Callithrix jacchus: one gene and its partner. The protein of the gene in region 2 interacts with the protein of the main gene of each other region in a pairwise test. Links are inferred from orthologs where the notes say so. Each region holds a gene or a part of one and is shown on either strand. Other genes may lie near its edges. The genes, in order: CCNB1IP1 and PRKAA2.

Region 1 (4,531 bases), on a different chromosome or scaffold from region 2:
ACAAATTTAACAAAAACAAAAATTCATTCTTCTGACAATAGCCCAGAAGCCAGAAAGGCCACTCATATAGTACTCATAAGGGCCCTTCCAACTCCAAGATGTTGTGTCTCTTTTTTTTTTTTGAGACAGAATTTTGCTCCCATTGCCCAGGCTGGAGTGCAATGGCACGATCTCGGCTCACCACAACCTCCTCCTCCCACCTCAGCACCCCCAGGAGCTGGGATTACAGGCGTTCAACACCACGCCCAACTAATTTTTTGTCTTTTTAGTGGAGACAGGGTTTCACCATGTTAGCCAGGTTGGTCTCAAACTCCTGACCTCATGATTCGCCCACCTCGGCCTCTCAAAGTGCTAGGATTAACAGGCGTGCCTCGCCATAAAGTTATTTCTTAACAAAAGGAAGCTTCCATTGGAAAGAACCTAATTTTTTCCCAACTCACAAAATTACCACCTAAAAAACCAGAACTAAAGACTGAAACAGCTTTGGAGAAATTCCCAAAGTCTCATTTTTTATTTTGCATGTCTATATCCTAAAACATATTTCAGCTTTTCCTAACTTAATACTAAAATGGGTCTACTCCCTCAACACCGTAAGTTGAGGGGCATATCCAGCACACATTTTCTAAGAAAACATTGAAAGTATGCCCCTTCTGTCTCTTTGAATACAGATGACTTGGCTGTTCTCGGCCACTGCTGTCACTCCTTCCCAACATTAAACATATGCTCAAAAAAATACAATTAAAAAAGATTTTAAAAAAAACTTGTGCTCATAACAAGATAAACCATCCCCTAGTCAAACCAAAGTGGATAAATATATACCCACATAAAAGCCATCAAGATGGGCCGGGCGTGGTGGCTCAAGCCTGTAATCCCAGCACTTTGGGAGGCTGAGGCAGGTGGATCACGAGGTCAACAGATCGAGACCATCCTGGTCAACAAAGTGAAACCCCGTCTCTACTAAAAATACAAAAAATTAGCTGGGCGTGGTGGCACGTGCCTGTAATCCCAGCTACTCAGGAGGCTGAGGCAGGAGAATTGCCTGAACCCATGAGGCGGAGGTTGCGGTGAGCCGAGATCGTGCCATTGCACTCCAGCCTGGGTAACAAGAGCGAAACTCCGTCTCAAAAAAAAAAAAACCCCATCAAGATGATCCTGCTTTTGGTAGAAAATCCTTTACTGTTCAATCAAGACATTTAAAGTATTGATTAGTTTCTAATCACCACTATGTGTACTTAAATAAATATAAATAGGAAGCTCTGCAAAATATCTAGATTCCTTTTAAACAAGAATATGCTAAAACCCAGTTGAAATGCCTATATGCCAACTGACTTATTTGCAAAGCCATTCATTTAGGGAGAAATATCAAGATCATAAATTATCTAAATATCTACTGATAAAAGCTAAATAAATTATGCCATGTACATAAAGTAGAATACTATGTTACCATTATACCCCAAAAACCTTTTGAAATAAAAAATATTTTTTGAAAAAAAATTTTTAGAGAATACTGTTACCATTATAAAGAATGTGGACACTTACTTATTAAGTGGAAAAAGTAAGACATATAGTAGAGTAGATATAGAAAAAGGGAAGGATACTCACACATATTTGCTTACATGCATAAAATATCTTAGTAACACTGTTATGCAAGAGAGGAATTGGATGGCTTAGGGAAGGGGATAAGAAACTGATTTCCTTGGAATTCTGAACCATGTGAATATATTACCTATTCAAAAAATCAATTATAACTGCTTGAGAATTATAAAAATTATGGGAGGCCTGCAAATGCCTATTACTACATTCAATTAACTGGTTTATTTGTCTTTCTCATGCTTTCTACCTATAAGGATACCCAACACATATATCATATAAAAACTAACATGTATCAAAAGAAATGCAGTGAAATTACATTCGAGGTCGCTAGACAAAACTTTTTATGAGAAAACAGATATCCAAAATACTATGATAAATAAGTACTGCTTACTTCTAAAGGTACCTAACATTTATTACATACCACGTAGGGCCTAGTTTTTATATATTTATCTGATCTTGGAAAGCTAAGCCTGGGAATGGCTCACTGCCACTCCCAAGGTCACCAGAGCTGTAAACTGTGGCGCTGGAATTTGAATCTACAGGCTTGCCCGAAACTAAGGTCCCCGGATCTTTTTCCATAGCTTTTTAGGCCACATTCACCACTGTGGCAACATTAAAAATTACGAGCTCCTCTTAGGGCTTATCTGTCTTCAGAGTTTGCTGCCCAGGTTCACCAAGAAAGCCGAAAAGATCTGAGCTAAGGCCAGGAAAAAGACAAGATCCGCTGCAGCTTTCATAAACCCAGTAAGGTCCCGGTCCCTCCTAGACACTCTCCGGAGAATTAAAATCTACTGAGCTGAACGCCTTCTCCCAAGATCTGACCTCACCCAAGGAGATACAAATCAAAACAGCATTGGGATGATAACAGTATTTCTCCCTCCCAGCGAAATAAAGCTGGGCGTTTCCAAGAACACACGCACTGTGCACATGAAGCAGAGTCTATTGTTCCTGGGTCACCGGGACTCAGAGAAAGAAGGCAAACCCCAGTACTGCAGAGGCCCACGTGGAAACAAGCCAGGCAGAGCATTTCACTGTCTTCTTCCAACCTCCACAGAGCCTAAATTAATCGCCTTGCGACTCACACACACTCCAATGCCGGCTTGAAATAAAGGCCTGCCAGTTGGGTATATGGCATAAATGAAGAGAAATTCAAAACAGTTAAAGAGCGCAAAACTAAGTGCACACTCACCAGCCCACCAAAACGGAGAGGGAAAGAAAGTGGAGAGACAGGAAGTGGCCTTAAGAAGCGTCTTCAGAACCTAATTGGCTAATGAGTTCAAGAGGATTCCCTCCTCCTTTACCTTAAAAGGTGCTGAAATGACGTAACCCACTCCACCCTTCTCTCTTTATGGACCAGTGATGCTTCTTGCACAATTTTTAAAGTGAACTTCTTAAACCAAGTTTCCTTTCCAGTTAATGTCCTTATGCAAACACAGGCTAATTTAAGCTATTTATGCACATTCCTGTTTGTGTGGGCTACTGCATTCTATTCCAAAGAATTTTCATCTCTTAAGGGTAATTTCTTATCCTTTGTGACCTCAGTATGGTCACAATTGATGCTAGGCAACAAATTCCATTATAAACAGTCTAGATCTATTCAAGTTAAAATTTACCTTCATTTTTTTTTCCCCAAAATCCAAAGCTGTATTGATAAAATTTACCTTCAGGTAATCTTTGAACTAACAAGCTTAGTAGATAAAAGATAGGTGGTTAAGTATTTTAGGCTTTAAATAAAATTTAGCTGATTTTGAATCCGAAACTTGCCACTTATTTGCACATATCTAAGCCTCAGTTTCCTCAACTATAAAAGAGGGAAAAATTATGAAATCTTCCTACTCTGATTGTTGTGAGTTTTAAGTAAAATAATTTATATACTCAGTACCATGGCTGGTGCATAGTACTCAACAATGTTAGCCGTTATTGTTATTACATATTTCTTGTTAGGTTTATCTTCCCAAGTAGACTATAAACAATTAGAGAGCAAAGTGTACATTTTACACACCTCCAGACCAAAACAATGACCTTCAGTGCTGAGGACATAAGTGATTAAGCAATTGTTTTGACTCCTAACATCCTCCTCCAGTTAAAGTGTATGTTCTTAGTCTGTTAAAAAAAAAAATTTTTTTTTTTGAAACAGGGTCTCACTTTGTGTTCCATGCTGGAGTGCAGTGGTCCAGTCTCGACTCACTGCAGCCTTGACCTCCCAGGTTCAAGCAATCCTTCTGCCTCAGCACCCCACCAAGCAGCTGGGACTACAGGCGTGCACCACCCCACCCAGCTAATTTGTGTATATTTTGTAGAGAAAGGGTTTCACCATGGTGCCCAAGCTGAAAGATTTCTTTTTAAGCCATAATTAGAGGACTCACTAGCACAATATTCATCATCATTAGTATTAGTAGTATTAATAAGTACCATTATAGTATATAATAGGGAATACATATACAAATATATGTTATAGGTACAAATATACATGTAATGTGCAAATATTTGAAGTATAAAGATTCAAGGTATACAATTCTAAGAAGAAATGATACAATTCTAACTCACAGTTCTCATTTTTAAATAATTTCATCCTATTCACCCTGCTTCCACCTTACTAGAAATTATTACCTATTCCAATCCACTTTAGAGTTTAACTGCCCCAAATTTCCCAATATTTAACATCAAATGCTACTTTGTTGTTCCATAAGTGATTTATTGTAACTTTCAAAGTCAAAACATTTCTTGAATGTTTACTATAAACCAGGAATGCTGCTAAGCACTTTATATTCATTACTTTGTTTAATCTTCACATTATCCCATGAATGTAGGCACTTTCATTATAAGTATTTCACCAAAGCAAAAGGAAACAGAGTTACAGAAATTAAGGAATTTGTCTATTTAGCAAGCAGTAAAGTCAGGATTCAGACCCTGCTATGGTTTAAATGTCGCCTTCAAA
Region 2 (3,821 bases):
AAACAACCCTGCATTTGTTTCTGGCCTTTCTGAGTCCCAGAAATACATCGGAGCTTTCCGAAGACCCCTCTGGAACTTGTATTTCCTAATTTTTCCTTTTAAGTGTCTTGGTCACCTTTTCATTTACCCAGCTTTCACTGCTGCTTCAGGCATGTTAGGATGTTAGACAGTTGCCATTGATTTTTTTTTTTTTTTTTTTTTAAGCAAGTGCCCTGGGGAGAAGGCTGTTTGTGAGAGTAAGCTCTGAGTCAGGTCACCTAAAAACCAGGCTTGTGAGTGGGAGATTTCCAGAGAACTGGTAGGTAAGTAAGATAATGACAGTTCTCTTATGGTCGGAGTTTTGGGCAGCTATATACTATTCTGTTCTTCTGTTTTCCCCACCCCAATGCCCCAGTGGTTGTTAAGCTCCTGGTTTTCTCAGCTCTGTGATTATGAGGCTGTTGCATTTCAAGGCTGCCATGGAACTGGACAAAGGGAAATGGACATAGGACAACTTAAAAAGCCACAAATCTCACCTTTCTTACTGAAATTCAGCCATTTTTCTTGAATAGACAGTCTTCAGATTGTTGCAAGCCTTTGATTAATTTCCAGGGTTCTGAAAAAGTTGACTTAGACTGTTTTTACTGGTATTTTGTTTTATGAAATAATAGATTTTTTGAGTTTATTTTGGTGAAAGTGTTTAACTTCTCTACTTGTCATTTAAAAAATATTAGGCAATAAAAAAAATTCTCAAAAAAAAATTAGACAAGTAACATAATTTTTTTGTCTTTTGTTACTTCTTTTGTAGCTGGGTGTGGTGGTGCACACTTGTAATCCCGTGTACTCAGGAGGCTGAGGCAGGAGAATCACTTGAACCCAGGGGGCAGAGGTTGCAGTGAGCCGAGATCACACCACTGCACTCCAGCCTGGGCAACAGAGTGAGACTCTGTCTCAAAAAAACAAAAAAAAAATAGAAAAGATCTATCTCAGTTATTTTTATTGCTAAACATTAATAGGTGCTTAATATTATTGTATAGCAAATAAACACATGAATGAATTTTTGTGTTCATACTTTGTCTATTCATATATTTATTCAGCATTTATTGAGCATTTACTCTGTACTACATAGTGGGATAGAGCTAAATAAGGTGTGGTCACTATTTCAAGAAGCTCTCAGTTTAGTGGGCAAGATCAAGAAAAAACAACTATAAGAATGTGTTGTGATAGAAAAATCTAGTAGCTGTAGAAGTTTTATCTTTGTACATATCCTCAGGGGTTGACACACCATCATTTCTCACTTGGACTATTGCAACTAGCGTCATCATCATCATCAACATTTTTATCTTTTCAATTCAGTTTTTATACCACAAACAAAATGATCTTTACAGAAGGATAATTAGGTTATATTATCCCATCTCTTTAAAATCCTTCAATGATTTTTATCAACCACCGGTTCAAATTGTGAGATTTCCTTTTTATAGCCTCCAATTCTTAGAAGTATCTGATTTCATTTGGCACTCATCTCAACTCATTCTGCTTTCATGATGTTGAGCTCATTCCAGTTCCTAGAGCACAGCACAACTCTTGTTTGTCTCATGGTTTTTGCACATAATGTTTCTTTTGCTGGGAATATCTGTTCCCCAACTATTGGCATAGCTGACTTCTGATCATTCTAGTGTCTGCTTAAATATTACTCAGAGTGGCTTCCCTGATCACCCACTTCTCATTCTAAATTAAACACTCTCATTTTACTCTATGCAATTTCTTCTCCAATATTTTTCTCAGGATTTGCATATTTGTAACTATATTTTCATGTATATTTGTTTAATCTCTATTCAGCTAAAATATAATCTTTGTGAGGAACAGTATTTCTTTTTGTCCATGGTATTTCCTCAGTAAATATTTATGAATAAATTAATCAGTGAATAGAGGACATTCAGTCAAAATATATCTTCATCTGCATTTATCTTATGGGAAGCCCAGTTCTACCAGGTAGGAATAATCTTGAAGGAGTAGTTTGTATTAGATGAAAAGGGTTTGACATTCTAGGATAACAATAGTAACATCAAGTGCAAAGCCCCAGAAGCGTGAGAAAATATGGCTTAAGAAAGCAGTTCTCAAACTTTTTGATTTTAGAATTCCGTAACTCTGAAAAATTATTGAGGACCTCAAGGGGGATTTATTTTAATGTAGGTTATATCTATAAATATTTACTATATTACAATTAAAACTGAGAAATTAAGAAAACATTTAATTTATTTAAAAATATAAACCACTATATGTTAAATAATACATCTTTCATGAAAAATAACTATATCTTCCAAAACAAAAAATAATTGTGAGAAGAGACATTATTTTATATCAAAGACAGCTAGGTTCTCATACCTTCTTCATTCAATCTGTTGCATTATTTCGTGTAGTTGAAGTGTGTAAAGAAGGTATGATCTCAGATAAGTGGTTGGAAAAGGAAAACATTTATTAACACCAACTTTATCAGAAAGTCTTTAAGTATTGGGAAGCTGTTAAACACATACAAATAATACAAAATTTTAAAGTTTTTATTGAAAGCTTGAATTTTATCATTGGCAACAAATATTGCTGGTTGTTTTCCTTAAAGAGATGGCCTTGCTTTTTTCATTTTTGAGAGAATGTCATCTGAATGCCCAAGTCTTTATAACCATAGTTATTCAATGGTAGTGGGTAATTAACTTGCTCAGGGTTACATAGCTAGTAAGTGGCAGAGCTAGGTATAGAGACCAGATCTTTTGGTTGTATTATGTTGTATTGCCCTATGTCTAAATTATTTGGACTTGCCAAAGCATGTCTTACAATAGTGTATTGTGTTTTTCCTAGAGAGCATGAATGGTTTAAACAAGATTTGCCCAGTTACTTATTTCCTGAAGACCCTTCCTATGATGCTAATGTCATTGATGATGAGGCTGTGAAAGAAGTGTGTGAAAAATTTGAGTGTACAGAATCAGAAGTAATGAACAGTTTATATAGTGGTGACCCTCAAGACCAGCTTGCAGTGGCTTATCATCTTATCATTGACAATCGGAGAATAATGAATCAAGCCAGTGAGTTCTACCTCGCTTCTAGTCCTCCATCTGGTTCTTTTATGGATGATAGTGCCATGCATATTCCTCCAGGCCTGAAACCTCATCCAGAAAGGATGCCACCTCTTATAGCAGACAGCCCCAAAGCAAGATGTCCATTGGATGCACTGAATACAACTAAGCCCAAATCTTTAGCTGTGAAAAAAGCCAAGTGGCATCTTGGAATCCGAAGTCAGAGCAAACCATATGACATTATGGCTGAAGTTTACCGAGCTATGAAGCAACTGGATTTTGAATGGAAGGTAGGAAATTACAATGTATTAGGATCATTTGTAGAAGCCATTTTTCTATATGATAAGCTGCTCTGAGCTGCTGAGTTGAGTATTAAGTGCAGTTTTTTCTAGTAATATACCATGCACATTAAAAACAAACAAAAAAATAACCTCTAAGGATGAAAACCAGTTGATGCTGGAAACCAACATTTTGAATTATAGTGTAGTGTTCTTGGTCAAGAAAAAAGTAATCAACTAGAAATCATCTGAGAAAACAGATTACTGGTTTCAGCATGCATCAAAGCGTTGGAAAATCATGAGTGTCTTCAAAGATAGTATGTTTTTACTTCTTTTTTTAGGGAGGTTTTTTCTTTTTTAGGGGACAGAGGCAGGTGGCTGTGATAGCTAGTAATCAATACAAATTATACCATCACACATATTTATTCAGTCAATAAACACTTTTCTCTAAATTGTGATATTCTCTCTTATTTGGCTCGTGCTTTTAATGCTTCTA

The links.
Region 1: the proteins of PRKAA2 (region 2) and CCNB1IP1 interact in binary tests that used the Homo sapiens proteins (3 or more experiments, as listed by UniProt). The two-hybrid records come from large-scale screens. The link is inferred for Callithrix jacchus from reciprocal best matches to the Homo sapiens genes PRKAA2 and CCNB1IP1.

What each region holds. Positions count from the first base shown.
Region 1 is NC_133509.1:55,055,443-55,059,973, forward strand, and holds the start of CCNB1IP1 (E3 ubiquitin-protein ligase CCNB1IP1), read right to left. Parts: upstream 2,809-4,531; 5' UTR 2,783-2,808; intron 1-2,782. UniProt on the Homo sapiens protein: Ubiquitin E3 ligase that acts as a limiting factor for crossing-over during meiosis: required during zygonema to limit the colocalization of RNF212 with MutS-gamma-associated recombination sites and thereby establish early differentiation of crossover and non-crossover sites.
Region 2 is NC_133508.1:93,780,749-93,784,569, forward strand, and holds part of PRKAA2 (5'-AMP-activated protein kinase catalytic subunit alpha-2), read left to right. Parts: intron 1-2,832; coding exon 2,833-3,337; intron 3,338-3,821. UniProt on the Homo sapiens protein: Catalytic subunit of AMP-activated protein kinase (AMPK), an energy sensor protein kinase that plays a key role in regulating cellular energy metabolism.